Linked DNA regions of Lonchura striata. The protein of the gene in region 1 interacts with the protein of each later gene in a biochemical or structural test. Links are inferred from orthologs where the notes say so. Each region holds a gene or a part of one and is shown in the gene's direction. Other genes may lie near its edges. The genes, in order: NEDD4L, NDFIP2, UBE2E3 and SGK1.

The links.
Region 2: of the proteins of NEDD4L (region 1) and NDFIP2, one has a biochemical effect on the other in vitro, tested with the Homo sapiens proteins (2 studies listed by BioGRID, with this or other methods). The link is inferred for Lonchura striata from reciprocal best matches to the Homo sapiens genes NEDD4L and NDFIP2.
Region 3: the proteins of NEDD4L (region 1) and UBE2E3 form a complex in vitro, tested with the Homo sapiens proteins (3 studies listed by BioGRID). The link is inferred for Lonchura striata from reciprocal best matches to the Homo sapiens genes NEDD4L and UBE2E3.
Region 4: of the proteins of NEDD4L (region 1) and SGK1, one has a biochemical effect on the other in vitro, tested with the Homo sapiens proteins (5 studies listed by BioGRID). The link is inferred for Lonchura striata from reciprocal best matches to the Homo sapiens genes NEDD4L and SGK1.

What each region holds. Positions count from the first base shown.
Region 1 is NC_134642.1:459,425-467,308, reverse strand, and holds the start of NEDD4L (E3 ubiquitin-protein ligase NEDD4-like), read left to right. Parts: upstream 1-4,877; 5' UTR 4,878-5,176; coding exon 5,177-6,343; intron 6,344-7,884. UniProt on the Homo sapiens protein: E3 ubiquitin-protein ligase that mediates the polyubiquitination of lysine and cysteine residues on target proteins and is thereby implicated in the regulation of various signaling pathways including autophagy, innate immunity or DNA repair.
Region 2 is NC_134604.1:47,832,183-47,840,107, reverse strand, and holds the start of NDFIP2 (NEDD4 family-interacting protein 2), read left to right. Parts: upstream 1-4,918; 5' UTR 4,919-5,050; coding exon 5,051-5,086; intron 5,087-7,925. UniProt on the Homo sapiens protein: Activates HECT domain-containing E3 ubiquitin-protein ligases, including ITCH, NEDD4, NEDD4L, SMURF2, WWP1 and WWP2, and consequently modulates the stability of their targets. As a result, may control many cellular processes.
Region 3 is NC_134610.1:23,812,953-23,820,185, forward strand, and holds the start of UBE2E3 (ubiquitin-conjugating enzyme E2 E3), read left to right. Parts: upstream 1-4,219; 5' UTR 4,220-4,410; intron 4,411-4,789; exon of another isoform or gene 4,790-4,841; intron 4,842-5,661; 5' UTR 5,662-5,670; coding exon 5,671-5,864; intron 5,865-7,233. UniProt on the Homo sapiens protein: Accepts ubiquitin from the E1 complex and catalyzes its covalent attachment to other proteins. In vitro catalyzes 'Lys-11'- and 'Lys-48'-, as well as 'Lys-63'-linked polyubiquitination.
Region 4 is NC_134605.1:58,639,740-58,647,695, forward strand, and holds the start of SGK1 (serine/threonine-protein kinase Sgk1), read left to right. Parts: upstream 1-4,943; 5' UTR 4,944-5,443; coding exon 5,444-5,512; intron 5,513-7,956. UniProt on the Homo sapiens protein: Serine/threonine-protein kinase which is involved in the regulation of a wide variety of ion channels, membrane transporters, cellular enzymes, transcription factors, neuronal excitability, cell growth, proliferation, survival, migration and apoptosis.

The sequences.
Region 1 (7,884 bases):
ACAAAATCATTGGGCGTATTGTCCAATTGTTTTATACTTACTCAAGCTTGAATTGCCCAAATTACTGTTTGTACTTCTCATCTCTTTTGTGTCAATTAATTATGTCATGTTTGAGCTCACTTCAGCTGGCAATATGTATGGACGTTTATTCTGTGCATTTTAGTCAGGTTGTTAAAATTAAAATCCTTGGGCTGGGAGAACATTGGAAGAGTATCTTACCTGTTCCCAGGAATAACCTTTTCTTTTGGTTTTACTTTTGGTTTTTTTTTGGGTTGGTTTTATTTTTTTTTTTAATTTTTCTGTTTATTTCACAGTATAAATCTGAGAATATTCTTGGAGCCCCAAAGTTGCTTTTGTGATTAAAAAATACTTTTTTTCTCATCTGGGTTTAAATGAATCTTGAGAATGAAATGTTCTTCAGATTTTATTTCTATAGGTTCTCAATGATTTGTCTTTTAATCATCAAATTCTATTTATATTTAATGTCTATTTTAGGGTCATCTGACTCACATATCCTCTCACATTTGGTTTACTCAATAGAGAATCTCTAGATGGCAATGTATTTTTCAATTTCTTTTATTACATGCTTTTCTTTCTCTTTTATTTCCCTAGAAAACTGTCACTTGCATGTATGTTGTTATAATTGCACACCAGAAAACATTTACATTAGATGTAAATATAGTTACTTTTTTACAGACGCTGAACCCTAAATGGAATGAAGAGTTTTACTTCAGAGTAAGTTTCTCTTTATTTGTGGTCATTATTAGAACATGTACAGCTAATGTTATTTTCTATTTGTATGTTTACTCCAGAGACCTGCTTGCCCTGATGTACTTGCTGTTGTGTTTCTGAGGGGATGGAATGCTCAGCAGGAATTGGCTTGCAGGTTCCTTAGAAACTGTTTCCCAACCTGCAATTATATAATTGTGAAGGGCAGTCACTTTGCTACTCGGTTGCATACAACGTTCTTCCAAGGAATAGTTGACTTGTGACCTGTAGTGCAGCTGTAGCTGTACAAAAGCGGGTCAGGTAGGATTGCAGGGGTTTCAAACATTACCCTCGAGCAGTGCCTGAGGGCTGGTGTGGCAGATGGGAGCTCTGGGACAGCAGTGCCACCAGTGGAATGTTCCATGCACAGGCCTCACTGCCGTGGGGAGTGCTTACTGGGACACCTGCACCAAACAGCTTTTCTGGGGTTTGCAGCTGAGATCTAGAGTCTTAGGAAAAGGGAGTGCACAACCCTGCTGCAAAACCTCTGGTGTAGTTCACAAATGCTCTGTTAAAACATCTTGAGTGTCCTCAGCAATAACGGGACCTGTAAAGTAATTTAGACACTATTTTGTGTGTCACAGTTCTCTGATTTTCTCAAAACTGGGAAGTCCATCTCCAGCCCACAGAATTGTTGTATACTATTTCTAAATTTTCTTAATTCAATATGCTGGTCGTAGTAACCCAGCTTGTAAAGCTTCTCTGAAAAAATATATCAACTGGATCAAATGCTATAAAACTTGCTTAATAGCAGCTGTTTTGTCTTTCTGACAGAGTTCTTTTTATGTTTGATTTTGACCTTTTAAATGTTGGCAGTCTTTCTGCTTCAGTTTAAGTAAATAATTTTCTGGAGGTATATTTGCTGTTCAGGTGTTGGGGAGATTTCTGCTGGTTGTTCCAAGGATGTGAGTAATAAATGGGCTAGAGATGATGAGCAGTGGACAGTCAGAAACATATCTGAAGGTGAAATTCTGAAGGAAATGCAGCAAAATTCTTGCTCCTCATAAATCAGTCAGGGAGCCTTGATATTCTGTCCAGCCTGGGACTAGGGTCCTCTGCCATGGGAATGCAGGTAAAAGCTTTCATGTCAACTGCCATGCTCTTCCCAGTTGCAGTAAGGTTCTGGTGCTCCAGTTCAAGTAAAGATTTACATCAGACCTGTTAGTCCTGTCCTGTTTGCCTTGATTGCTGCCTGAGCTAGTACCCAGGTTGTTATTGTCCAGCTACTGAACTTGCAGTGACATTTGGATTTTCTCACAGGTAAACCCAACTAACCATCGGCTGCTGTTCGAGGTGTTTGATGAAAACAGACTGGTGAGTGCTTGTCTTGGTTATGTTCTGCTAATCACGAGGCTCCGTGTGCCCCAGCTGATAGAAATACAACACAGCTCAAAGGTGTCTTCGGACGGTTGTTTCAGTGAGCGTGCCAAGAAACACAAATAGAGGTGTAAAAACCATTTGAGTCTGGGACTGAAAGGGCACTAAAGTAGTGCCTTTCTGAGTCGGACCAAGATGGTCCTCCTCACCCTCACTCTGGCCTTCTCAGGCCTCTCCACTTCAAACCAATAAAGTCCTGACCTTTTCAGTTGCTGATAAAGGAACTGCTTTATCATTTTAGTGTCCCTTTCCAGTCCTTTAGTGCTTCTGCATCTTGCCTGGGGAGGTGGTTACCAGAGCTGCATCTTATGCGCACAGTGCATGCGTGAAGGTTTAAGGTCATGGCAGAATGGTGGGTTTCATCTCTGCCTCACAACGCTCACATGTTGTTAGTGGTTTCGTCTTTCCCTGCCTTTGGCTGATGCAGTAGCTTTTCAGGAGGAGGCTTTCACCATTGACTGCTGCTAGCTTCTGGAATAGTTTTATCCGTGGGAAAAGTGTCAGTATCCCTCTGTACATCTGGGGTTAAACGTGCCAGTGCGGTGGCACACTGGTGGATGGCTCTTGGGGGTTTGCCTTTTGAACATTGTAACACCAGCTCTGTTCATGAGATCAGGAATTCACATTTTCTGGGGTGGAGAAACTTGTTTGCTTGCTGAAGATAAAAAAAGACTGTAAAAGCATCTGTCTTCAACAAATAGGTTCTTTCCTTCTATCTTCCTCATAAATAAAGAGCAAAGGAAACCACAGAAGCTGTAATCTGGGGAGAAAAAGGACTTGGCAGCTGAATGACTGGATCTTTTCTCAGGAGGAAGTAAATTGGTGAACCGGTGGCACTGTGCCTCTACAGTGGCTGACCAGGAGCATATTTATTTTGTATATAATGGTTATAATGCCCACTTGCACTATTAAAACTGCCATGCGCCATTGGAATGCGAAGGTGCCACAGGAACAGGGAGGTCGGGTTAGAGAAAAAGCTTCTATGCATTGACAGCTGGGAAATTACAGGTTTGGGATACTTATTTCAGACATACTGCTTTGGATTTTCGAGTTTGGGTGTGCAATACCGGCCGTACTGTGGCAGTTTCAGCACTTTTTATTGTTGAAGTAGTTTGTGTGTATTCTCCTTCTGTTCTGCCTCCAAACTCAGTCTGTCCTTGGCCTTGGAACTTCCTGGCCAAAGCAGCACCTGGGGTTAGGAAGCATGGCTTTCCTTGCAGAAGGTCTGTGGCAAGCTGACTGCTTCGGGGGGTTTGGAATAGCAAGTTTCTATCAGGTTGTGTTTATAGAGTGAGGAGACGCTGAGCTGATACTTTTGGCTTTACTCTCACATACTTATTGTCAATATTTAAATGGCTTTTGTTGGAAGGACTTTGTTTCTTCTTGTTCCCAAATTACCAAAGCACACTCTGTCTTAGCAGGTGTCTTTGCCTTTCTCTTCCCCAGTCTCAACAGAGTAAATGTGATGCAGCCTCCTTTTGGATGCAGAGACCGTGTTATTGAGTAACATGTTTTAGCTGAAAAAAAAGATAAAATAATACCAACACCTGTGCTTCTATGATGCAATCTCCAGGACCATTGCTGTGTGGAAGCTGTTCACATTTTTGTTGCGTTTCATAACCCACATAAAAAATTGTGGGATTGTGCTGGTTGCTGGCAGTTTGATCAATTTGAGCTGCCGTTGCTCTTGGGATTGGTAGTTTTGTGGCTTTTGAAAGCAAGCTGCTTGTAAGCAGAGTTCAGATGTCTCAGCAGAGGACTGACCCGCCACATACAGGTTTTCAGAGCTTTTGACAAGATTTAGGCTTTCTAGTTCTCGCAGGGAGCAGCTGTCCAGGCCCTGAGATGGAGCTGCCTTCTGGTTAACCAGAGTTTTTCTGGTATGTGCTAAGAAGTGCGAGTGCCCTCAGGGCACTGAGTATCTTTGTTGTAGCAGAGCTGATTTAAGGTGGTTGGTGCACGTTCTAGTGTATCCTGTCTGCCTGTCCTTCTCCTGAGCTCTTCTGGCTCTCGGAGTGTAACTGTACTCTGTGCTGGCAGTGCCACGCGTGGTGGCATTGCTGACTCCCTCGCTGGAGGCCAGCCAGGAGCAGGCAGTTCTGTGCAGGGGCTGGGACAAATCAGTGCAAACAGACATGCAACACCCAGCTCTGCTTTTCCCTCACCTGTACTGCCTGGCAGATCTGGAAAAGGAGCTTTCTGACTTGCTGTCCTGCACATTTCTACTGGTTTTACTGTGTGAGAGATCTTTGCCATACGTATGATTGCTTTGTTGGTAATTTGTAGTTGCTCAAAGGGAACTGCAGGTTATATTGCTGCTGGGGCTTTTTAAAGTCAAAAGTTTGTTGCTTAATTTTGTTATGAGCACGGTTAAAATTTTAAGTGTAACCATGTTGTATTTATTCCTGTTCTGCCATGACAGCTCAGAGCTGTAACACACTAAAATGTTGTGCTTGAAAGAATTTTCCTCATTTGCATGTGGTGTTGATTTAAGCTTTTAACACAAAATGGAAGCATTTTGTTGTAGTTAGAGTTTTCTGCAAGTGCTTTCTCCCAAGTGTGCCCTGTGAATCTGATGTGGTTTAGATTTATAGCAGTGCCGAGTGTATTCGCTGCCTCAGTCAGCTGCGAGAGCTCTCCCTCTGGGGCCGCTCCTCCCTGATGGAAAAGGAGCAGCTGGGAAGGTGCTGTTTCAGGCTCTTGCTGGCATTAAAAAAAAAAAAAAAAAAAAAAAGGAAAAAACAAACTCCTCACACACTTACATTGGAGAGGGGGAACCAGGCCACGTGACTCCCACCATCCTACCCTATGTCACCGTGTGTGTAGGAGCGCTGACTGCTCCTGCCCAATCATGCCTGGAATGCTGCTTGCCACTTGGGCTATTTCTGCTATCTGTCGCTCCCAGGGCTGCAGTGCTAACCGATTGGCAGATGGGACACTTTTTCCTGGAGTTTATGTCTTTGGTTTTTAACTTCTGGCAGTGCCTGAATTGTTGCCGTTCTCCCTCTCCTTTTCTCCTCTCTGTAAAATCATGGCCCATCGGCTGCGGTTTCATTTTGGCTCTGGGAGAAGCAACACAGCCCCCGAATCGGAGAACCTTGCCCGGGAGAGAGAAGATGACTTTTTCATGGCATTCCACACCTTGCCAAGAAGAAGCAGCCCTCACGCGTTCTCGCGGCATGGACCGGATTACGGCGGCGACGGAGATTTGCACGAAGTGGGCTCCTTGAAAAGGAGCACATCCATGTTTATCCCGCAGCTGCTGAACGGCATCGACGCGCGCCCCACCAGGAGCTCGTCCATGCAGATCTCGCTCCAGCGCAAAGCTGCCGACGGCTGCGCCGACGAGTGCGCGGCCCCGGAGCCTCCGGAGGAGACGCTGCCCTGGAAAGTCTCAGACTTCAGGGAGCCGTATGCATCCCCTGTTGAAAAGCGCTCTTCTCCGAGCGCTCTGCAGGTGACTCCTGAAGGTTCTTCACCCGGGCTGACGGAAGAGTTGGGGCAGCAGACAGATGGAACTGTTTGCTGTAACCGTAGAATGTTCTGTAGTACTAATTCTCAGAGCGAGGAGGCTCTGCTGACTGCCCAACGACAAGAAGCGAGTGAAGCGGCTTCAGGTGTAAACATAAGCGGTGTGAGGATTCAGCATCGCGCCTCAAGTGCGGAGGTTCCTCAAGTTACTCTACTTCCCTTTGGTCCTGACGCTCCAAATAGCGCTCCCACCTCTGAGCCCCGGCGCTGGTCCTTGCAGCATGTGCCAGATCTGTCAGCAAATTCAGGGAAAAAGTTCTTTGTTCTCCAGTTACAGCAGCCACAGACAAGCAGTACGGGCGCAGAAGGTGGCAGTAACTTTGGCTTTACCGGAACAAAAGGGGACAGGTTGGTCAGGTACCCTCGGATACGGCTGGAAAGGAGTACTTCCTACCCTGTCCAGCCACCAGCAGAAGGAATTAGCCCCACAGGTGATGGGCTGAATTCGGAGCTGCCTGGAGACAGCAGGAACAGGGCAGGAATACCTCGAAGTGATTCAGTAGAGCGGATGCCTCAAGGGCAGGGATGCTTGTTTAAAATCAGACCAGATCAAAACATGAGGCAGCAGCACTTCAGAATTCTTGTCACGCGTGGGCCGGAAGAACAAAGTCAGGCTGTTGGTAAGGAGGGTCGTGGCACCCCTGGTCCTACGGCAGCCGGCACCGCAGTAAGTATGATGGGCGTGCTGTGCTGTGCTGGTAAAACACGGATTGCCTTACAAAGGCTGCCACACTGGAGCCAACTGCAGCACTTCCATTGTTAGCACTGGAATGTTCTGCGTTTCTTTGGAGCAGGCCACAAATTGTCTTTATTTCTAATCTAATGTAACTTCGCTCTTCGTTATGATTACATCCAGTGTAATATTTTCAGCTCTTACTGTCACGTGTTTCTTAATTCACATTAATTCCAGCTGTTACGTCAGCTGGAAAGATTTTTTAAAATCAGAGCATTCAAATAGCAAATTAAATGTTTCTGTTAGTTTAGTTGGCTGAGGCCTTGCTGCGTAGAGAACTCTTTGTGCACTCTGGTTTTAAAAACAAATACTTTGTCACTTTCTAAGTGTAATGGACACACGTGGACCTCTGCACACTTCTAAAATGTGTATTGTAATGAAATAGTTGCTAAGACTGTGGGAATCTTAGAGTAAGTTTAATCAAAGTACTGGCTTAGTTAAGGTACCAAGAAGTCTGGGGAAAAATAATATTTATTAGTAATTTCTTATACTAATCTTAGAGTAATTTTTCTTTCTTCCTTCTGGAAGTGAAAAACATGTCATGCCTTTTGTATGCTGCAAGTCCTGATCCAAGTCCAAGTGCAAGTGGTTTGACACAACTCAGTAAACAGTCTGTTTGGATTTGCCTTGATTTGGTGTTAGGATGGCAAAATTAATCTTCTGGGTTTGCTTTGTTACAGCAGGCGAGGATTGATGGCTGATGTTTTTCAGCCGCTTTTCCAAAGCCTAAAGTAGGAGCAAACTGAAGGGTTTAGATTAGTCATTTGCTTAAATTGCTTTGCTGTGCAATCCAACACGGCCCACTCAAGTTCCCAGCTCAGGGATGCTCTATTTAGCATTGCGAGCTCTGGCTCCAGCTGTGGCACGGTTGCTGAGGAGATTTCAGGCTCCATGGCTCCTGTGCTCCCAGGCTCTGAAATGCAGCACAGGGACAGCTGCTCCCTGCAGCAAGGCCAGGAGTGACTCTGCAGCTTTCCCATGGAAAAGCTTATGGACTCGGTGTTTTTCCAACCTTCTTTGGAGCTCTTGAAAGCGTGAAATAGAAAGAAATCCCTCCCTGGTACAGGTTTGGTTCCAGGACATGTAAAGGAGCAGAAAAAAAGTATGTCTTATTTTCCCTTTCCTCTTTGTTATCCCTTGCTCCATTCCAAGATCTGTTGTTCATGGAGACCCACTGCAGCCAGTTCCCTAAGTAGCTGTGGGGTGTCAGACCTAGCACAGAGGCAGCAGAGGTTTGCAGAGATGTGCCCTGGGTCTGTGCAACAGTTCTCATTTTCCTAAAGGATCTCCTCTCAAAGTCCCTGTTTTCATCCCCCCTGTAGTAACAATTCCCACCCCAAAGACTTGCTTCAGTAGTCCCAGAGGAGAACGAGGAAATCTGTTCCTCTGTGCTCTTGGTTTGAGTTACCGTGTTGAATGGATTGAGGCAGCTGTGCAGCATGGCAGGCACAGAGGTGCCCAGCCCACATGGCACT
Region 2 (7,925 bases), on another chromosome or scaffold:
AACAACTTCAATCTGGCACACACTCGTGTCTATTCCTGTGATTCTCCTGCTTTAAACTGACTTCTCTCACATACATGGGCCTCTCCAAAAAGGTGTGACTTTGTAGGTCCTTTTTTTCTCATCGTTAGACCCTCCTCTGTCACTGGTGTGAAACACCAGCAGTTTTTACACTCATTCTTCATTCTCAATGTGTCACATTATATGGAAATACATTTTTTAAGAAGAATCTATTCTGAGAGACAAGCACACACTGCTTCAGCCTTTATTTATGGACTCTGTACCATTTTCTCTAGACTAATAGCTTACTGCATAGAACTGGCTAAGCAATCATCTTGCAGAGGCAGCTCATTATGCTTTTTCTTTCCCCTTGCAAATCCATTGAGCTGTACTGAAGAAGCTGTACTGCTGCCAGTGTGAGCATTGTCTCCCTGAAGTTGTCTGAGGCCTTCTTAAAAGATGGTGTTCCTTCACTTCTGTGGTGTCCTGCTTTAACTGTGCTTGTAGTCAGCAAAGGTAATTAATACAGGCTCTAAGGGAGACAAGAGAGGTAGGGATCTAACCATGCTACCGGCTTAGACAAAGTACAGATGTGCAATGCCCAGCTGTGAGGAGTTTGTCAGAATATATCTGAGCTACTTCAGAACTGTCTCTGTGACTAGCAGGAAATAGCTCCAGCAGTAAAGAGATCCATGCAGGCTGCAAAATCTGTCCTAGACCAAGGCAAATATTTGAGCTATTTCCCAGCCTGACCTCTGTGTTGCAGTAATGACTTCTAAACCTGGTTCAGACACATCTGCATGATATCTAGACATATCCAAAGGCTAGGTTTACAGGACTGTACAAATGTATATACACACTGAACACAGATGATGACAATGCAATTGAAAATCTACTTTGGGCCACAAAATCTTAAAAAATCTTAAAAGTAGCCCATTGTTACTGCTAATGATGGCTTTGGCATTGCCTATGTTGCCTAAAAAAAAAGAAGAAAAAACGAAGAAAAACAAGCCAAAGTCCTGCTGTTTCTTTCTAAGAAATTCAGTCCCAGTGGTTTGTTTAAGCTAACTTCCTGCTTAAAGTAGCTATCTAAGCCCATAGAGAGATCACAAATTTGTGCAGGAATATAGAATTAAAACCAAATAGCTTATAAAAGGAGTTTGAAAATACAGAGGAAAATAAATACAATCAATAAATTCACAGACCACAGGACTGGTCCATGAGTAAATTAAGTACATAAATTTAATTAGATTTACATTTGGGAACAAAGTATTTATTTCTCACTGACATGACCTGTATTAGAGATTTAAAACCACATGCTAAAGGTGTAAAACAGAGTTTAAAAAAGTTTACTTTGTTTTCCAGGTTTTGGATAGGTATGTAGGCTTTTATTTTTAATTTTTTAAATTGTTTGTATGGTACAGTAAGTAAAATACTATAGTAACTGCTATATTTACTTAAAATAATACAAAATTATATACTATAAATGTAATATAAATATTTTTATTTTAACCAATATAAGTATTTGGTTTATATGTCTTTATTAAGATAAAATTAACATACTTTTGAAATCTACCTACTCTGTAAGTTCCACAAGAAACCTTAAAAATTTGAATAGGTTTATACAGGTGAAGAAATGTAAAGATAAATACTGTGCTTTCTTATTTGGTGGCCAGTGGTTGAATAATGAATGAAAACCAGATTAAAATAGCTAACAGTCCTTGCCTTTGTGCAATTAAGTTCAGACTTGTCAGAATTCAGATGCCATCTTTCAAGACAACTTTTCACAGAACTGGGCTTGCAAAAGCAAAAGCTTGTTACCAAGCAGAATCTTTTCTTGGCTCATTTTCATGGTGGAACAAAGTTTAAACTGTTGTAAGCTTGCTGACTAACAGCAATTAGATTTCTTTTTTCCTAAAAAAAAAAAAAAAAAAAAAAAAAAAAAAAAAAAAGTCTGAAGCAATACTTCCTTTTAAATGTAAATTTGAAACTATTTTGATTACATGCTATTTAGAGTACTATTTCTGTTTCTTTAAATACAATTCTTTGACAGAAAACAAATATTCTTAAGGATACAAAATATAGTCCTAACCCAATACTGTTATTGCAGGCCTATTAAGGTTTAAGAAGGTCAAAATAAAAAAGTAAATCTTAAGACTAGTATTCAAGGGTTTTAGTCTACAGGACAGTCCACATGATTTTTCATCTAAGTAATAAAATCCTAGCACTTCTGAGAGACACATTTCCTGGATTCAGTATATATTCTGCACAAGAGATCACAGAAGAAATATGGGCTTATGGGAGAGAGTCCAGCAAAGAGCCACCAGGGTGATGAAGGGACTGGAGCATCTTTCCTGTGAAGCAAGTCTTTGAGACCTGGAGCCCTTCAGCCTGGAGCAGAAATGCCTCAGAGGGGACCCCATCAATGCATATAAATACCTGAAGGGAAGTGCTTAGCAGATGGAGCCAGGCTCTCCTCAGCAGTGCTCTGTAACAAAACCAGGACAATGGGCCCACACAGAAACACTGGAGGCTCCCTGTGAACTTCAGGATTTTTTTTTTTTTTTTTTTTTTTTTACTGTGAGAGTGACTAAGCACTGACTTAAGTTGCCCCATGGACTTGTGGAGACTCCATTCTCAGTGATATTCAAAACACCCCCGGTCCTGGGCAGCCTGCTCCAGGTATTCCTGCTTGAGCAGATAGCCTCCAGAGGTCCCTTCCAACCTCTACCATTCTGTGGTTCTGTGATTTTAAGGAACCTTAGTGCTTGCTAATTGCTTTGCATTATAGATTAATATTATGCCATGGTCAAAACCTCTGGAATCCGACAGTTAAATTAAAATATACAGATAACACTATTTTGAAAATACACAGATCTGAAAGAAATGCATGCTTTTTTTATATTTTGATGTTCTAGAAAGAATAAGAATCAAAAGAAGGCATATTTAAAGCCTAAATGAGTCACATGACCTGTTTTGTTATAAGTCCAATAACTACACTTATATTCTTGAAGTAAAAAAAAGTTTAGTCTCTGTATATAAGCTAGACCATCCATCCAAAATTTGTCCCTACATATGAAACTCCCTCTCCACACACAAGTGTATTAACTCTATTGAATCTGCTCCTGCCTCCACTGACTCATTTCCCAAGCACTATGGAATATTTGCCAATTTTCCTATTAAATACTCTTTGGTCCTTGCCTATTGTCCTTTCTTCCCTTCATGTCTTCTAAAAGACATGAATTGCATGAGTTCAAAACTGAAGGTTACATCTTAATAAATGCTTACTCAATTGTATTCCGACATTTGCAGTGTCAAATTCCATTTGGCAGCTTTTAACTAGTTGGGGTTTCTAGGACAGTGCATCGCAGAGCTGAGACACAACACTTAAAAAGCCATGGAGATCAGATGACAACTTCCTGAGCTGAGATGTCACATGCAACGCTTCAGAAAAAGTTTACTTTGGAGAAAATTGTTGCTAACGATACAGAAAATGTTAAACTGATTACAAAATTGGTTCAATTTCTATGTTTCGTGAGATCTGGAAATATAATTAAGAGGTTTTGGTAATGGAAACACACTGCAACACTCTGTACAAACTTTCTTAAAATCAAGATGATCTTTACTAATAACTGTTCCTTTAAGAACAGAATAATTAAACATTTATTATGTATAATGAAGAAAAAGGAGAAAAATCCTGTTAGGAAGATAATATTATTCAATTTCTAACCTATAGAAACTCATCCATTTCTAACCAGCTTTGTTTCCTAACTGCTGGTGCTTTTGATGTGCAACACAGTTGTGCAAGAAACAAAACAAATGCAACAAACAGAAAAGGCCTGAACTTTCCAAACATATTTTTCTTTTCATTTGGATAGCTTTAGTAACTGCTGCATTAGCCAGGTATGGGCTGCAAGCACGGTTGCAGGCACACACACAACGTCTCACGCTTCCACCTCCTCCTCCCCTATAATCCTGCCTATCTTCACTCCCACCCCCAGCTAGGAGCACAACTCCAATAATGGAGCTCGCTCCGCTCCTCTGCCCTGCCACGCTCCCGTACTGGCTCTTCCCCCCGCTCCCGCAGGTCCTCACCCAGCTCGCCAGGGATGACTGCCCGCACAAAAACACTCACCCTGCTGCTCAGGTCAGCAAGCAGCTACGCAAAGGTGATGACCTGAGCTGCAGGATAAAGTTCTGCGTGCCGGCCATTAGCGATAGCGGCTAGCCGGTTTTGTGAGAGCATTTGCCTTGCAGATCAGCTATAGAGCAGCACACGCTGACACTCCTCCCCACTGCAGCCAAGAGATGGATCTACGGCTATGTGAAGTTGTTGCGTGCCACAGCTACATCTGGCAGTTTGGGAACCTACAAATGAGTCAGCTTCATCCCATAGACTTTTATGGGTGCAGGCGTTTTTGACTGATTTTACTCCAGGAAGTCATAAGCATCTGAATATTTAGTTTTAGGAAGAGAGAAGAAGAAAATCACATTTCCTTGCCACAGAACGGTGTTCTGCCTTCACAGGAACAGTAAACAAACGGACTCAGGATTCTTAATAACTTTACGTAGATGCCTATTCAAAATCGCTCTCCGGGTCCGCAGTATGTCTTCTGTGCTATATTGTACTTCTTGCCCCGAGGTGATCAATAGCGATAAATACCCAGGCAAGGCCTGGGCTTGGGCCATAACAGCCTTAGAGAACGCTGCTGCCGAGCGAACAGCGGGGAATGTCGGAGAAGCCCGGCTCTGGGCAACCGCGGCAGGAGCTCCCCGGGCCGAGCGCGGCCGCGGGCGGGGCGGGGCCCGGGCGGGGCGGGGCCCGGGCGGAGCGAGCGCGGCCGCGGGCGGGGCGGGGCCCGGGCGCTCCGCCGCCGCGGGGGCGGGCGGGGGGCGGCCGCGGCGGGGCGGGGCGGGGCGGGGCCGGGCGGCGGCGGCGCCGGGCGAGCGGGCGGGGGAAGAAAGGAAGGAAGAAGGGAAGGACGGAGCGGGCGACGCGGCGCCGGGTCGGAGGAGCTGCGGCCGCGCCCGTGCGTGTCGGCGGGTGGCCAGGATGGATCACCACCAGCCCGTCAGCCGCTACCAAGTGGTGAGCGCCGCGTCCCCGGCGAGGCCCCGCTCGCCTGCCCCCGCCCCTGGGGCCGGCGCGGCGGGCACGGTGCGACCGGGGCGCCCTTCCCTCCCCCCGCTTCTCGGCTCCGACGCGCGGGGGTCTGGCAGGGACCAGGACCGGCACCGGGCCCGTCCCACGGAGGGGCTCTGACAGCCGGGCCTTGCCGCGGAGGGGGCGCTGCCCGGCCTGCTCGGGAGCCGCCTTCGCCCGCCTCCTCTCCCGCGGCCCGGGCTCGGCGGGCTTTCCCGGGCGCTCCCCCTGCCGGAGCGGGTGCGGCTCCCGGGAGAGCGGGGCCGCCGGCGGAGGAAGGGGCAGGGGTCCTTGTCTCTGCTAGGTGCGTGCTGCGAGCCAACCTCTGCATCCTTGTGGTTTCTGAAAGCCCGGAGCTGTCTGGCACAGGGACAGAGTGCAAGGCCTGTGTGAAGATTAGAGCGAGGGAGGGAAGTGTGAAATGCAGGGAGGAAACTGACCTTCAGTGTGTGTGTCTGTGTGTATGCACATGCAGGAACAGGCTATTCTCAGGAACGGTCCGCAGCTTTGTGAGTCACTGAGACCAATTTTTCTTTTGTTCCCGAACCTTACCACGGAAGTAATAATTTGGAAATCGAAGGTTTTCATTCTGCCCGAATTGATTGTGCTGTTTGTTTCTCGCAGTTTAATGTCAATTACATAAGTCTTGCAGTCATTACCTTAAGGTCAGTTTTACTCAAAATATGTAAGCTTTCATCATTACTGGATGTAAAAATTACTTAGGTGCAGTCAGTCTCCTCAAAAGTTTAAATTTTTTCCTTAAACCCGTTGTACTTTATAGCCTTGCTCTGAATGTAAAGATAAGGAAGTCTGAAATCTTATTACTCTCTATGATTCAAATTTCTACTGTAATCTTCTAGCTAAATCCTGAATTATTTATCTTAATATTTGTGTTTTACAGCTTGAGCAGTGAAAAGAATGTCCACAGAAGTAATCACACATCTGTGCATATATAAATAGTACTATTTATATTCAGATTGTTCCTAGGTTATGATTTAAGAAAAATAACAGGAAACAATTTTATTATATTTGGAATATTTATTTTGATAATCTTACAGCACTGTAAATTTCTGTATAGTTTTGGGCACTTAGATACAGGGATTGTCATAGAGGTGACAATCCTGTGACACACCCTGTGATGTATTCCTTTAGGTTGGTAGATGGTCACCAGCTGCTTTTTTTGTGGCACCATGCTTCCATAACTTGAACTCAGTAGAAGTCCTGAAGTCATTCCTTCTTCTCTGCAACAGAGAAGAAAAATGCTGGCAGAGCATTTTCTTGAGAGCCTACAAACACTATCTTCCTCAAGGCCTGAGGTAACTTGGGCATGTTTTAAAAGGCTTTGAAAGCATATGTTATTAGAGGTCAGACAGGTAGAAGGGAAACTTTAATTTAGTTACTCAAAGGAGTAAAAAAAACCACATGAAGAAATAATTTGTCTCTGTAATATTTTTATCCTATGTTTATTAGGAACTTCCAGTGATGGTGCTGATGCCCAGCTTTGAGTAAGCACTATTTGGTGTGGCCTTCCAAAAGGGCTTAGCTTAATGTTTGTCTGTATGAGTTGGCCTCCTCAGTTTGCTGTGTACATTAAATTGTGTAGTCATTTGTTATAAATCAGTCTGCTGTGCTCCAGAGTTTAAAATACAGCCTTACTGATTACTGCCCCATGGGAAGGAGCATATTGTTTTAGTTTTTTGTTATATCTGACTGCTGAAGACTGAGATTTTTGTCATGTTGTTTACTTACTGTTTTGGGTCAGAGAAAGGAAGGAACAAGGCAATTGCAGATATACTTAATTAGCAGCTGATTATTCAAGCATGTGATCTTAAGTGTTGTGATGTATTTGCTTACATAATGGCTGTGATAGGTACTGAGCAGTAGATTACCACAGATTTTATGGTTTTGTCCTAGTTTTTAAAGACAAAATGTAGGGGGAAAAAATGACTTAATATGGTTAATACCATATTTTATTACTGTTTTATGAATTTAGTTTTATGAAATCTGGCCAGTTCTGTTGTGTTTGATGTATTTTTTTTTGTTTTGTTTTCTTTTTTTTTCTCCCATGTTTAATAATACTTTTTGGCCCAGCTTGTACCCATTCTGCCTCTACTTCTAGCTAATCTCTTTGACTCCATTCAGGGCAAACTCTCTTCTAAATAGAGAGATTTTTATGTGTATATTATTATCAAAAGAATTACTGACTTGTGTTTCCTGGCAGTAGAACTTCAGTGAAGTTGAAGGAGCTATCTTTCTCTTTTTATTTGTGCTGTCTTCAAGTAAGTTAAATTAAAAGACTTTAGTTGGGCAGGCAATTTAGTTTTGAGTTTTAGCACAAAAAGCCAGTTCTATGACTTCTTATGAAACAGAAAATGTCTCATCATAAAGCTAGCCCTCTGCTTTACTTATTTTTATCTCTGTTGGAAATAGCTCTAAAGCTTCATTCTGTATCTTGTTCTTTGTGTGTCTACATTTTATTTACAAAGCAGTTTAAAAGTGTACAAATCGGGCAGCTGTTAGAAGCTGGTACTTGGAATTGCAGCAAAGTAAGTTGTGCGCAAAGAGCAGGCAGTACGTCAGCATTACGTAACTCTCTGCCGCGGGCATGTGTGATTTGTATTGCTTTCTGGCCCTCCTGTTTTGTCTCTCTTCGTAGGGCAAAAAGACAAATAATTGATGGATAAGAATTTGTCATGCTTCCCTGCAGGAGTATGACATTAGAAGTAAAGTAGCCAACCTTTGTTGTCTTGCTTTACTTCCTTTTTTCTTTTCCTTAGTCACTTGA
Region 3 (7,233 bases), on another chromosome or scaffold:
AAGCTTTCCAAGTAAAATGAAAACTACAGCAATTAAATGCTGGTAAATTCAAGCTGCTTTCAACAAAAAGTAAAGGATGGATTTTTTTAAAGCACTGATATTCATTTGACATGCACTGCACTGAATTCATATGAATGACTACAGGAACTACAAAGGGGCCACTGTGTTTCTAACTTGCATCAATAATCCACATACAAGGAAAGAATTTACAAAACAGAACACAAGAACTCCATGGGAACACCCTAATACAAACATATCCACGTTACTCTGTGCTCTGAAACCATGCATTTATCTGTTATGTTTTTAAGTACCTAATGCTAGTCTGCCCATTAAAAACCAGTAGCCAACTGACCATTTAGCCTTCCAGTGTGTAATATACAACTGTCAAATACAGCATATGCTGAACAGTAGGACTTATGGTTTACTTCTTAGGATTATGATGAAGATTAATTAATATATGTGGTGCTTTAGTGCATGCTAAGTATTTTTCTATGGATTTAGATACATTCTATGGATTTAGCAGTATTCAATGTAATAAAAAAATCCCAGCTAAACAGCTAACTCCTGTGTTAAAAGAAGTTGGCAAAATTCTCTTCCTGATTTATTCAATCATGCAAGGATTCAGAGAAGGAAAGATATCCTGAAAAGTCCTGTAAGAATCCCAACTTCCAGGCCTCATGACAGGCTGCATTAGAGCAGTCTCAGGATTATTGCTGAGCTACAGCAGCCTCCAGAAAGTCATCCTTCAAACAAGAACAATTGAAGCACAGCAGTGTTCTGGCTCTTGCCTTCATCTCTTCCGCCCAGCCCTCTTCCAATCCTTCCTCCACCATATTCCCATGCCAAACTTTGTATGGTGGCAACACAAAACTAACAGATGGGCTGAATACCAGCTGACAAAGGGACCAGGATGTGGCTTTCTAATGGCTGGTTCCTGTCCACTGCCACATTGACTTTATTTCTCAAAAACTTACCTCCACTGTTTTTGTAAATTCTTGAGAACACAAATGAAGTAGGGACGTTGTTCTTTAGGGGCTTATTTTTCCTTCATAAACCCCAAAGAATCCACAGCATCACAATGTAAGAATAATCAGAGTTATGGTGAAGGCACAACAGGATGAGCTGCAGCTACTGCAGGCTTCCTGTACTCCTTTCTGTAAGTCACTACATGCCTTCTTGGCCCAAGATTTTTGCATTGTCTGCTTTCCTAGAACTCTCTGTTAAAACTGTCAATTGTCTTGGGACAAGACACACTGAATATTTGAAAAAGAGCTACCTTACAAAGAGCACTAGTTTCTACTGTGACATTACCTACAAACAAAAACACAATCTAAATCTTACCCCATCCACTTAAAAAAAAAATAAATTGTTCATTTCCTGGTTCTCCAGCCTGTCCACATCTATCTGTAGCACTGCAGTAGGGTGCTGTAGTAGGGGTCCAGCAGGGGCTTTAACACAACCTGGAATGGGAATACACTTAGGACAGAGAGATGCATTTCTAGATGATGAATTTACTGTCAGGAAACTATGACTTTTTAATAAAAAAGATGAAGTACACAACTGTAAACTGTTGAACTGAGTTGAACTGCTCTTAATCATGAAAAATGTATGCTGGCTTTATTTTACCACCTGTACGCCCTTAAAATTATTTGGGTCAGGAGATCCAAATGCTTTTCACCTAGTTTTGGTCCCATTGTTTGCTATCTAAGAACTTCATGTCAGATGGAGGAGACCCAGCTGTGAACTCCTAAATCTAGAAAAATATATTCAGAAGTCTGTGCAGTCCAAGGCAACTGTTCAACCTCTGTGTGCTAACAGAAACTTCATATCTGTGCTCTGACAGAACAGGGAGGAAGACAGACCCAAAAAGATACTGGGCTTTTGAAAAAACCAGCTACCAATCTACCACCTTTGCAAACAGGGCTTCTAAAAAAATAACCCAAAGAAAACAAAAGTAACAAAACACAAACAAGAAAGGCAACTGGGAAAAAAATGTAGGCCTCAGCCTGAGTGCCCAGGAGTTCCTTGGGAAGGCTCTGCAATGCCAGCTGCACTTCCACAATTTGAGCACACAATAAACTGACAGAGAAAACACATTCATGACTCTGTACATCAGTTAAAATTACACTGAAGGCAAATTATGAGGGATATGAAAAATCACAGAGGTGTAGATTTGTAACAATAACTACTAAAATTGGCATTTTTCCCTCTCCTTCAAACTGCACCTTTCAGTGCAGTCCTCTTTATGTGGATGATAACACAGAAAGAAAACATTTTCTTTCTGTGAATAACAAATGAGCCCAAGGAAAATACAACCTCATAAGAACAAAGTGTCATCCTTTGACACCTGACGTCAAATTAATGAATATTCAATCAAATAAATATCTGTTATGTCCACACATTGCTGTAGTAAATTCATTTTAAAATAGTAAAAAATGCTGGGAAAAAAAATAAAATCTAGAATAATTTTTCTATTAGTCTCCATTAAACGGGCTTTCTTAATTTTCACTTTGTATCCTGAAAGCCACAAAAGCCACACATGTAGCTGATGTGGTGTGCAACTCTTGGCCAATCTACTTACTTTCATTCTGTAGATGTACACTTTTCTACTACTTTTTTTTGGGATGACTGCAAATTTTCACCTGAAATAATTTTAAAGACTTAATCCTGACTTTCAAAGTTCCAGCAAGCTTCATCTTGAGCATCATCAACAGAATGGGAAGAGGGGAGGGGCAAAGGCTCTCAGTGCTGACTGATAGATTTTTGATACTGCCTTGCTTTCCTTTTACTAATTATGCCCAGATTGCTCATCATGCCAGATACTGTTTATGCTAGGAATTTTATACAGCATACCTCAGGGGCAAATTGCCTGTAGTGGTGAGCTGGGAATTCTCTATAGCCTACTTTAAGAAACAAACCTCCAGTATTCCCCTACATCGTATTATTCAACTTTCCTGCCAAATCTTCAGCATGAGCTAACTTCAGCTAACGCCAGTGAAGGGTACTCCTTGACGCACCAATTCTTCATTCCCTCTAGAGCATGGTACATGCTCTTTGAGCCCTTGATCTTGCACAAGCTAAGAAAACACAGCAGTTTTAAGTCATTAGGCTGTTGATGATGAAAGCTATCTAGGCAAAAGCCCTTGTGCTGGACAGCAACTGTTAGCCTTGAGATTTCATGTACATTTCACAAATATTTATAGTAATTGTTAATTTCTTCTCTGCAGAAGCCAGTAATCCACCAGCTCAACCTCATCTACTTTTCCCAGATAGATAAGATCTTTCTAAAGAAACTGGAATTTAACGCCAGCGTGATCAGGCTCTAAAACTGGAGTATTTACATTCCCTAAATTGGTGGATTGCTATGGACAGATAGTGTGAGAAGCTGTTCAGCGCACACCGGCACCGTGCATTTGGGACGGGCCAGAAAATAAGCTGCATCTCCGTACCATAGCACCTTTCTGTGACACCACAATTGTTGTCAATTATCCCCTTTCCTCTTTAAAACATTTGTGATTTGGCGCGCTGGTTGCTCGCAGAGCAGCCCTGGTTGTGATGGTGAATACTTCTATTCAGAGTGGGGAGGCTGCAGGGTGGCCGGTGTTTTTCCAGCTCCAAGAGCCGAAGGCAGGCGTTGGGGGTGTTGGGGTCGAGGGTCCCATTCCCGCGTGTCCCTGGCCTGACGCGGGGCGCGCGGCACGAGCCGAGGCGTGCGAGGTGCGAGGCCGAGGGCCGTGGACACCGCACGACCCCCGGGCATCGCCGTTCTGCCGGGCACCGGCCCGGCGAGTCCCGCGGCGGGCCGGAGGCTGGAGCCCCCGGGACCGGGTCAGCTGAGGGCTGCGGGAGGCGCCCGGCCGGGCGGAGCGGCCATCGAGGGGCGATCCCCCCCCCGCTCCCGGGCCGCCGCTTTGTCCTTGCCCGGCCCGGAGCACGCGCGCCCCCGGCCGCGGCGGGAGCGCGCCTGCGCGCACCCCGGCGGCCGGCAGACGGGAGCGAGCGCCCCCTCTCCCCTCCCCCGCTCGCCGGGAGCTCCGCCGGCGGCCGCGGGCGGGCGGGGGAGCCCGGGCGGGGCGGGGAGAGCCCGGGGGGCGGCCGGGCCCCCTCCCCGCCTCCGCTCCGCCGCGCGCGCCCGCCGCCCCCCGCCCCGGCCTCCCGGCCCGCCGCGGGAGCCCGCGCCGCAGAGCGGGGCCCGCCAGCGCCACCCGCCGGCCGCGGGGCCGCACCGCGCCTCCCCCCGTCCCCCCCTGCTCCGGCTCTCAATGTTCCACACTGCCCGGCCACAGAGCCGCCGCCGCCGCCGTAGAGCCCCCCGGCCGCCTCCGTCCCCTCCTCGGGCGCCGCGGGCCCGGCCCGGCCCCCCGCCATCCCGCCCCTCCGACCCAGCATCGGGACAGGACGCCGGCGAAGGTAAGGGAGCGGCGGGCGAGGCGGCCGCCGCGGCGGCTGGGCGAGCGCGGTGGGGGGAGGCGGGGAGGAGGCGGGGGGGCTGGTAGAGGAGCTTTGTTCTTGTTTTCGGCGCTCGCTGCCTGGCGGCGGCCGGGGACGCGGGGCCGGCCCGAGTTCACGCCTCACTTGGTGCACACGCACGGTGCGGAGCGGGGCCGGGCGAGCCGCCGCCGCCCGCCGAGCCGAGGCGAGCCGAGGCGGGCTGGCGCTCCCCACAAAGCGCGGCCGGGCGGCCGCCCGGATCCAGCCCTGCCGCAGCTCCCGCCGCTCCTCCTCGGGCCCCCCCGGCCGCCGGGGCAGCCCCCTCCTTCTCCCCCCCGCCCCCCCGCCTTCCCGATCGGCGGAAAAATGTCGGTCTGCCTGGCGGAGCTGCGGGGAGAGCCGTGCAGAAGGTGCAGTTTGAATTATGCTTCTTCCCCCTCCGGCAGCTCTGTGGTGGCCAAATGCAGTTCTCGCTGCTGGCCATGTAAATAACCGGGGCTGCTGCTACCCCAGTGGCTTTAAATGCGTCGCGGGGCTTTTCCCCTTACCAAAAAAAGCCCTACCACCGATAAAAAACCAGACCTCGTTCCCCCGCGTGCCAGCCCTTTAAATGCTCAGAGCAAGTGTACATTTCCATCTGAAATCAACCCAAGTGTAACTGGCAGTGTATTTTCTCGGAGAGAGGGGAAGAGTGGGGGATCTGGACCCAATAAAATGCTCTGTCCCAGTGTAAATATTTACGGGTTATTAGTGACTTTTTAAAAAACATTTTCAGTGAGGTCTGTTATTTACAGTGTGTCATAAGTTATTAATGCTCATTGCCTAAGTACTCTGCTAAATCTGTCTCATGCCTTAAACAAAGTCGACAATTGGCATATTGTTTAAAGTATGAAAAAAAATGTGAGTGGGTTTAAAAATTGGAAATATCTGTATTTTCAGAAGTGTAAATATTGCTTTGTAGCTGTCAAACTCCAGCCCTTGTGTATGAGACAAAGAAGTATATTTTGATTAATTTCTCACTGAAACTGACTTGTCACCTATTCAAAGTTTTCTGGGACTTGGGGAATACCAAGAGAGAGTCCTGCCTGTTGTATGAACTCTGCCTCTTTTCTTCCCAAAAAAAGTTCTGCATGATGTCCAATGGTAGGCAGAGGTCAGCGGAACTTGGGGAATGACAAGAGAGAGTCCTTCCTTGTGTATTAATTCTGTCTCTTTTCTTTCCCCAAAAAGTTCCCCACGATGTCCAGTGATAGGCAGAGGTCAGACGATGAAAGTCCAAGTACCAGCAGTGGTAGTTCAGATGCCGATCAGAGGGATCCGCCTGCACCTGAACCTGAAGAGCAAGAAGAACGAAAGCCCTCTGCCACTCAGCAGAAGAAGAACACCAAACTATCCAGCAAAACTACTGCTAAACTATCTACTAGTGCAAAAAGGTAAAGGAGGGCGTGAAACGTCCTGCAGTATTTTTGCACATAGTTGGAGTCACAGTACTTGCACTGCGCTTGTCAGGGCAGAGGCATTCTTCTTGTAAAGCTGTGTGGAAGGGAATGTACTATCAGCTTTGGTAGTTGACAGGAGCCTGCTAAGCAGTGTTTTAATTAATCTAAGTCTTGTTGGGGTAGCAGTTAAACAGAATAGTGCTATGTCTTTTGAAGAGTTGGTGCAGAACTTGGTGACTTACAGGGTGACTGGGAGGGGGGCACCTAGGTACATTTTGTATTTTCAAAAATGTGTGAGAGATCTTTGGTGCTTTTTTCTGAGTTAGGTTTCCATGCCTGATTGGTATAGGGTGGAGTCCTCCTGGAATATTTTATTATGGTTGGTAGACTGATGACAGGCAATGCTGTCTAATTAAAGAAGTCATAAAACCCCAGTGGCTTCTCTGGGCCTTATGAGAGCTTTTCATGATGATGCACAGGAGAGCCTTACACACCTTGAAGGAATGGGTTCATTCTGCCATTCTCCTGGGAGAAACTTAGGTGAGTTTTCTCCCTTAGGAGCTGTGGATTTAAACCTGTGACATTCTACAGGTAGCCTCTGCCTTTAAATATAAGAATCTTCAGAAACCTCGTTTAGTTATATTGGTTGCACTTTCATTTGCATATAAGTTTATTGGCAGCTGGGCTCTCAGGAATTACTCTGGTAATTTTCTCAAAGATCAGCTGTGTGAAATACTCAAACTTTAAATTCTTTAATTCCGGCTGTCTTTGGAGATGAAACATAACTTTCCAGTCCTTTCCTTGGAGTTGCTTTTCTTTGAAAACATTTACAAGTATCCAGTAGCAAGAAAAGTTGAAAAATAGCTGTAGTTAGCTTCAAATTTTGCTTATTCAGCGTAACTATTGTAGTTCTGACTTTTATGAGCACTTTAGTAATTTTGTATTGGACTTAAACTTAGTAAATTCTTTTTGAAATATGTTAAAATTGTTGCAGAGAATGGCTGCATGCCTTTGATGACTTTTGAGCTTGTTAAAGAAACCCTTTGAAATAGGACTGGCTAAAGAGAAAAAAGTTTTGCAACTACTGTGCAGCACTTGTAATTTGTTGTTACTTGTCTTTTATTTGACAAGCCTAAGATACAGGGTTTTGACATTGAATTTTCCCATATTGTCTTTATTTCATTTAATTGTTGCAAGTGTAATTCCATGCATCTCACATAATTCAGTAGGCTTACTGAACTTATTTAATGTTAATGCAAGTGATGTTAATGCAAGGACATCCAGAGCAGTTTCTGTTAGCTCACCTTTTAAGGCCTGCTATTTGCATGAAATTCACAGTATTGCTCTTATGAGAAGTCTTAAT
Region 4 (7,956 bases), on another chromosome or scaffold:
TGGCCTATAGGATGTAGATTGATGTTTTCTTCCTGTGGAATAGGCTTTATATCCCCATCTCTCTGTAGGCTAAAAATGGGAACTACATATAGCTGGACAGAAGGGGATTTCAGCTCCCCTATGAAATATGGAACAATTGCTTCCAGGCCTGGAAGGATTTCAGACCATCAGATATTGTGTATGAATAGAAAGTGTTGTAAGCCATTTTTAAGAAGTTTGAAATGCTGGGGAGGAGTTAGATTTCCTTTTCTATTCAACCAGCACAAGCTGTGAAAGACTGGCATAATCAACTGGGTCAGGTGAAGGAAGGACTGGAGTGCTCTGGCAGGGCCCAACTCAGGACCTCTGGCTGTGCCATATTTCTGGACAGGACTGTACAGAAGGATCTTCATCCTTCGTTTCTCCCAGCTGAGGAAACACCCCCACCCATTTTCTTCAGTCTTCCTTGAATACCATGAGTGTTATCTTACTGCAGAAAAGTACCATGACTTCCCTAGGATCCTAACCTTAGTTTTTCCCTAAAAAAAACTAGTACTAATTTTGAGCAATCTTCCAAAGTGCTTAAATGCTTTTCTTTCTTCCCAACAATTTTATTGATGTTAGTCTTTTATTGCTAGGCATTGTATCTCCAGCTTTAACTTCTGGTGTGTGAATGTGGAGGCTCTTTGTTGGGGTTGTTGCCATGTCACTCAGTGCCCCATTCCTCACAGTGACTGGGAGAGCATATGGAGCAAGCACAGAGGAAGAATGGTGGGAAAATTTGCCTGACAAGCTGCACCATGCACTCCATGAGGTCTTGAGCTGCATATGATCAGGGGCAGGGATGTCAAATACAAGTAGAAACTGGGGAACAAGTGATGCTTGTGAGCAATACAAGATGAAGAACACGTGAGAGCTGGCCTAAGAGCAGTGTCCACACAACAAGACCAAAGCTAGAGGAGCAACCACAGAAGTGTCAAGAGCTGCTCTAAGGCAGAGCTGAGATGAAAGCCATATGGACATTCAACTAGACATTTCTGGACATAGAAGATGTTCAAACACCCATTCTGCTCTCTTCAGTTGTTGTTCTTACTTTCTGAGCTGGTCCTGGTGTACTCTGATAAACGAGCTGTGCCTTTCTTTATCATTGCATACCAGAGTAAAATATCAGTCATGGGTGCTGGAAACTATCCACCTTTCCCTGCCCACAAAGGAAGTGAAGGAAGCAGCACTCACAGACTGAGCAGCTGTGTAAGAACCCATAACATTCTAGAGATGATTTGCCACATGTGGTTTTGGCCCCTGCCAGAGATGTAAGCAACTTTGAAAGCACAGCAAAGGGAACTGCAAAAAAAGGGCTGTGATACTAAAAACTGTGACTTCATACTGAGCATTCTTCTCAGTCAGTGGGAGAAAAAGATTTAGTCTGTTAAGGTCGTAGCTAATTAAACTTGTCAATGTAATCTACTTGTTCTATGATAAACCCTGGATTGATTTACCACCTGTTATCTGTGACATTGCACTTGTAAGCATTTAAAAGCAAGGCAAATTATTGGTATCTGTGTTCATAAGAGGCACAACAAGAGAATGAGAATTCTGGCCCAGGCTTAGTGCCCCTTGCATACTACGTCAGTCAAAAGTTATGTTATTTCTTCAAGAAGATCTTCAAGAAAAACACCTTCATGCTCTCCCTGCAGGGCTGTCTCACAGGAATTCAAATGCTACCATGTGTTTTGCAGCTCTCTGAAATTCTGTAGCTATGATACATGTGTATTTCTCTCCTGACTGCCCTAATGAAAAACTTATTTTATCATTGCGGAGTATATGACAATTTAATGGGAACCGCTAAAGGGTGTTAAAGCATGCAGTACCTGTAGGACTTGTTTAAAGTGTTTGGTATATCTGGCAGTCCACCAGGCTGATGAAAGCCCTTGATGTTTTGTGACAATCACAATAAAGCACAGCTGAGTGTGTTGTCCTGGCTGAAATTCTTATTTTCCTACTCAATTTTTATGCCTTTTTACTGAAGTTAAATGCAGTGAACATGGATTTTTATGCTCATTTAAGGTTTAATTATGAAGCCATGCTTTTGGCATCATAAAAAAAAGTGAAACATTTTTTCTAGTAAAAATATCTCTGGCTTTAAATATTTGGCTTCTGGTGTAAAAACAAATATGTGGTGTTCCCTTTTTCCTCCTATTTTATATTTTTGATCTCCAATGCTAGATATAAGCTCTGCAGGCACTGAGTTGCACTCTGATTGATACTGTATTAAAAAAAAAAAAAAAATGTTTGGAAATAAACTCCTTGGAGGCCACAGAGTCAATGAGATTCCAGCTGAGAAGAATTCCAGTCAAAATATAGATATCCTGAGGAGGCCAAGGAGAGCTCTGTGTGATTCAGGGATAGTGTCCTAGGCCATTCCCCTTGCAGCAATGCACCTGCATCAAAAAATAACTCCTACAGTACTTTAAAACTATCACTATCAGGCTACTTAAAAAGCAGCTGGAGTTTTTTCTCTCTAATGGAAATTAACTTAAGGGCATAGTTTGTTCAGCTGAAAAGAGGCAAGCACCCAAACAAAGTAAACAGCCAAAAAGGTCTGGGGCCAAGGCCCTTGCACCAGGACTCATGAGATATCTTCGCAGCAGCAGTCTCCACCCCCAGCAGCCTACAGGGTGCTGGGTTTAGGAGGCTTGAAGGAGAATGGTGTTTCAATCAGCAGGCTGGAAATCTTATGGAGAAGGTAGAGACAACACAAATGCTTTTGTGAAAGAGAAGGCAGTGCCTGCAGGAGAAATATCTGAGGCTGAGAGACAGATCAAAGCTGTGGCTGAATAGATCAAAGATCTCAAAAATAAATGTACGTGCATAGCAAGCTGCCTGGTTTGCCCGAGAGAAAGTCATTCTTTTGACAATCATTTTCTTGCATTTCAGACTAGCCAACGAAGCATGTGGTGCTCAGAATAGTGAGAGACACCACCAGTAGAAATTGGGCACTCGCCATTGTCTACAGCTCTATCTGTAAGCAGCAGAATATAGCTCTGACAGCTCTAAAGCACAGCAAAAGATTATGAGAGATCAATAAGACTGAGGGATTGGCTGCAAGGTGGAGGAGGGTGGTGCTCACTTCAGGGAAGACTTGCTGATGCATATTGAGAATTCCGTATTTTCTAAAAACCTCCCCAATGTCCCTCTAGCTGGGCACTCTGAATTTCTGATCAGTTTTTAAGGGCCGGGCTGAATTGCTCCTTGGCAAAATCCATTAGCCCCAGACAGAGCAGCAGAGTGGAAAATTCCCTCTGTCCTTGCTTCAGTGACAATTAGTTATATAAAGTGAAACAATTCTGATGAGATATTGGCTTTTAATCTCCTTGCTTCAGACAGTCCTGTAAGAACATCCAAAATCAAGATTATGTCTTTTGTGCTGCTTGGACATTGAACTGTAGCTTCCCAATGAGTGTTCTCATTTGTGACCTGGGATCAGGCTGTACCTTCCCCTCATAATTTTGACCAGAATTTTTAACCTGAGCTCAAGAAATATTTCTCAGAGTATTATCGTGACTACTGAAATTAAATACAAAGAGGAAAGACAGGAAAAGGATGGGAAAGGATGGGAAAAGAAAAGGGAAAAAATGGCGAAATAGGTATGAGGAAAAGAGGTTTTGAATGAATGTTGTGGTACTACATCCTTAAGAAATTTGAAGTCTAGGATGAGTGCAGCCAAATTGTTTATAAACAGTGATGGAGAGCTAAAGGTACAAAGTTGGGAAATACATGTTGTTGACTTGTAAAAAAGGTCATAGCCTACAATCTGCTCAGCCTGGAGTCTCCAGTGAGTTGCGCAGGTCCAAAGACCTGTGGGATTCTCTATGTTCATAGTTTTACCTCTCTACATGCAATAAGGGGAACCTTGCACTTGAATAGGATATACAGCTCTTATTATCAAAGGATCTTCAAAAGAGGGGATAAAAGGGGCAAAGAAGAGTGACACAATATCTTCAAAGACTACTTAAAATTACTTCCACTGAAAAATGTGAAATGCTCAGTTTATTTACCTAAACATAGAGATGATTTAAATTAGACAAGTATCCTCATATCCTCATATATATATATATATAAAATACTTTATATTACAGGGCTGACCAATCTTGGAAGTTTTGGCTCGAGCGAGAAGCCAGATCAGTATTAGAAATTAGAAATTAGGTCCTTTCTTGAAACTGAGGTTTATTAACCTGGAACATAGGCTGATAGGAGGTCATGAAAACCCTATTTTATTTTCCAAACCTTTCTGGAAAATGTAACTTAATTAAGGTAGACTTTACAGTTCAGTTAAACACATATTATTGGATTCACTGGACTTGGTGACATTTAACTCAATTGAATTTAATAAAAAGGAAGTTTAAAAAGGTGCCTTTTCAAGATTCTTTCAGTCCTATTTCTAATGAAAAACCCTTTGGGTTTCAAAGATATATATCTATGTTTCTATGGAAATATCTGGACAAATGTGTCTGTGTCTGCTTGGGTCACATTTATCTGCACCACATATAAGAAATGTACTTTATAGGAACTGTGGGTTTCCTTTAAACTCATTGAACTATCTACAGCATGTCCTGTCACATAACCCAGTATGACATTGATCATTGGATGGGCTTTTTTCCAAAGTAACACTGTTTAAATCAGAACATAAGAAAAACATTTTTTTTAATTGACCTGTGTTTCTTTTCTTCTTACTCAAAGACTGTTCACCTATAAAATGACAGCTACCTCTGTCACTATCCCAGGGGAAAGATATTGCCTTTCAGCACTTCTTTCCCTGAGCCTTCCTACTACCCTTTGTATGGTTGTGTTTGGCTGCTCTGCCTGTGCATCTCTCCCTCGCTCTCTCTCTCCTTCCCCCCCCCCTTCCCTTCCCTTCCCTTCCCTCCCTCCCTCCCTCCCTGTCTCCCTCCCTCTCTCTCTCTCTGCTATTACTGAACTGCAGCTCCCACTGAAATTTGCACAATCAAAACCAGCTCTCATCTCAAACAGCAGTGAATTGCACCACCTGAAGAAGGAAAATAGCAAATTAAGCACGGTATCCTCTATGCTTATACAGCATGTGGTACCAGTAAATCTCACAGGATGGATGGACCCGGGTTTATGTGAGACCCACTTAGCCTGAGGTCTGCTGCCTCTGATCTGAGAGCTGTCACAGGATTTTACAGGAGGATATGTATTTAGGGGATGGTTTTAAGAAGCTAATAGAGAGCTGCATGTGAGAGCTGCTGCTGCCACTGTGCTGCTGCTGCAGTAGCTGGTGCAGCAGGATGAATGTGTAAAGGACAGCTGCCTGAGCCATGCCGGTGAGTCTCCTGCCCTGCTCTGTCTTCATTAGCTGAAAGAATACAGAGGAAAACAGATGCACTAACAAGTGCCACACTGGCACACTGGATCTATCACTGTGTACCCTTCACTGTGGAAAATGGTCAACAAAGACATGAATGGATTTCCAGTCAAGAAGTGCTCAGCCTTTCAGTTTTTTAAAAAGAGGGTAAGATTTTCCAGATTTTCCTTTAATTCTTTTTTTCTTTTTTCTTTTCTTTTATTATTGCTGTGTTTCTTACTCAGCCAGAGTAGAGAGAAAGTCATTGAAGAATGAAAGTGCTTTATGTTGGTCTTCTACTTTATGGAGCCCATGGCATGGGCAGTTCTACTGAACACCAAGGGTAATAGCAGTGTAGGTGAAGAGGAGCAGGGCAGGGGGACAAGGCTGGGGGCTCCAAAGGCATTACATCAGCACTCTTTGCTGTGGAATGTGTATCTCTGTCACGGCTGACCCCAGGGCTTGACGCAATACAGGCAGCTATTCTGGCTGGGATAATGCACTCCAAAGCAGAGTGCAGGGATGTTGCAGCTTGCCTCTGACTCGCTGCTCCACATCCACCTAGGGTTATGACTCCCTCCACACCTTCCATTTACTTTCCTGAAGTGTAGCATTACCCTCATCCATTCATCATCTCACAAAGTAGGGGGAAAAAGAGAACAAAGAAGCATTTGTAAGCTCAGGAAAATACTTCACAGTTTCTAATTTGACTGTAATCATAATTCATGCAGGAGAAAAGAGTAAGACTGAGCTACACCTGGATTTGATTTTCTTTTATATTCTTTAACATAGATACATCAGGATTCAGAAAATATTTGCTATGCATTTTATTCTGTTTTTCTCCAAGAAATGCAGGTGTAACTCTATCTCGTCGCTTTAGCTAAGTCCTTTCTGTTTCTTTGACTCTTTTCTAGTGACAATACTGCACACTCTTTATTTACTTGAGAAGCAGTCATTTCCATGTGGCATCAGGACAGGTATTCTGAATAAATCTGGGTAGACCCAGACAGCAGAAGCAAAGCATCAGAAAGAGATTGTTAGCAGGGACTACACTGTGGAAAGGATTTCCTGAGTGATTAAAACGACAACCCTCTCTTTAAACAGACTGGAGTAGGAGCAGATAAGCTGCTCCATTCACTCATTAGTTCATTCATTCATTCATCCTCATTCATTCACTCTCCCTCCATTATGCCAAGAATATGGTCAGTTCTTTTAACCCTTCAGGCAAAAATAATGAAGCCTACACCAGTAACTAATTTGTAAGCTGGGGTCAAACCCTTTCAGGCACCAAGATGCCACATTTAAGGGCAGATATAGAAAATACTAGCTGGGTCACTCAGAGGAAAAAAATGCAGTGTTAGCCAACAATTGTTGTTTCCAAGGCAGTTTGTAGAAGCCTCAGACTGATAACTCAAACAGCACATAAATTCAGCCCCTAAAAATGGTTGTCATCCCAACATGCTTCTCATTTAAGTACATTACTATTGGCACATGTTTACCTGATACTCAGCTTACCAGCAAGGTTATCTGTTGTTTTTTTTTTAACTGCTTGAAGATTTTAATATAATTGTATTATTAAAGAGGAAAGTAACTGTCTTGCAATTCCTGTATAAGGTTCCTGTATTGTCAACTGTCTTCTATCTTTTTAGAGTCACTGAGAAGTTATCACTGGAAACCTCTACCTAATTTTGTTCTATAAGAAGGGAAAATTGTGATTTCTGGGTTTTTTCAGACCTACACTGGTAATCCATGAATTTACAGTTGAAAGAGATTGTTAATTGTAGTCATAATTGAGGAAACTGTCATACTGATACAGTCCTGGACAGTGGAACAGGACAAATAGCTGCCTTTGGTTTCTGAATGTTTTCATTTTAACAGATGCTGCCTTTTTGCTATTGTGATGAAGATAGATGAAATCAGTAAAACCAATTTAGAGACACAAAGAAGGGAATTCTCTCCCTATACTTTTCTGTTAATAGATATATGTGTTCATTGATGTTTCTCTTACCCCTCTTACCTTCCTTGCAGAAAATCCCCATTGTCCAATGCCAGTGTTTGAAACACACACAAACAAAAATAGCTATATGCTCATAATGTGTTGCTGGCTCCCAGAAATATATCTTGCATTTGCTGGACTGGTGATGTGTCACATGTTAACTACTGTGAGAACAAGGAGAGATGGTTCAAGAGTTTATTTGGTCTCCTGCCAGTGATCTGGACACTCTGGCTGAACCACCAGAATCCTGGTGTATAGAAGCACATTTGTGAGCTTTCTTGGTCTGAGTGTAGTGTGTGGTAGAGCTGTTTGACAGTTTGCATCCCCACAGCACCAGTGCACCATAACCAGCAACCCAGGGGATGCATCCTCCATCCAGAGTGGGAGGCAGGAATTGCACTGCAGAGCCTGGCACTCCTGGCTGCTCGGTGAGGTTACTGCTATCCCTCTTTACTGAAAGATGCCTGACACACAGAGAAGGTCATTTGTTATCTGGGTACTGAGCAGGCTTGTCCAGATCACCAGCAGGGTCTATGATGAAACAAGGGCTGGGGCTTCAATCTCTCCAGTTTGAAATCACTGCGTCTATCTCCTCAAAAGCACATATTTCTAGTAG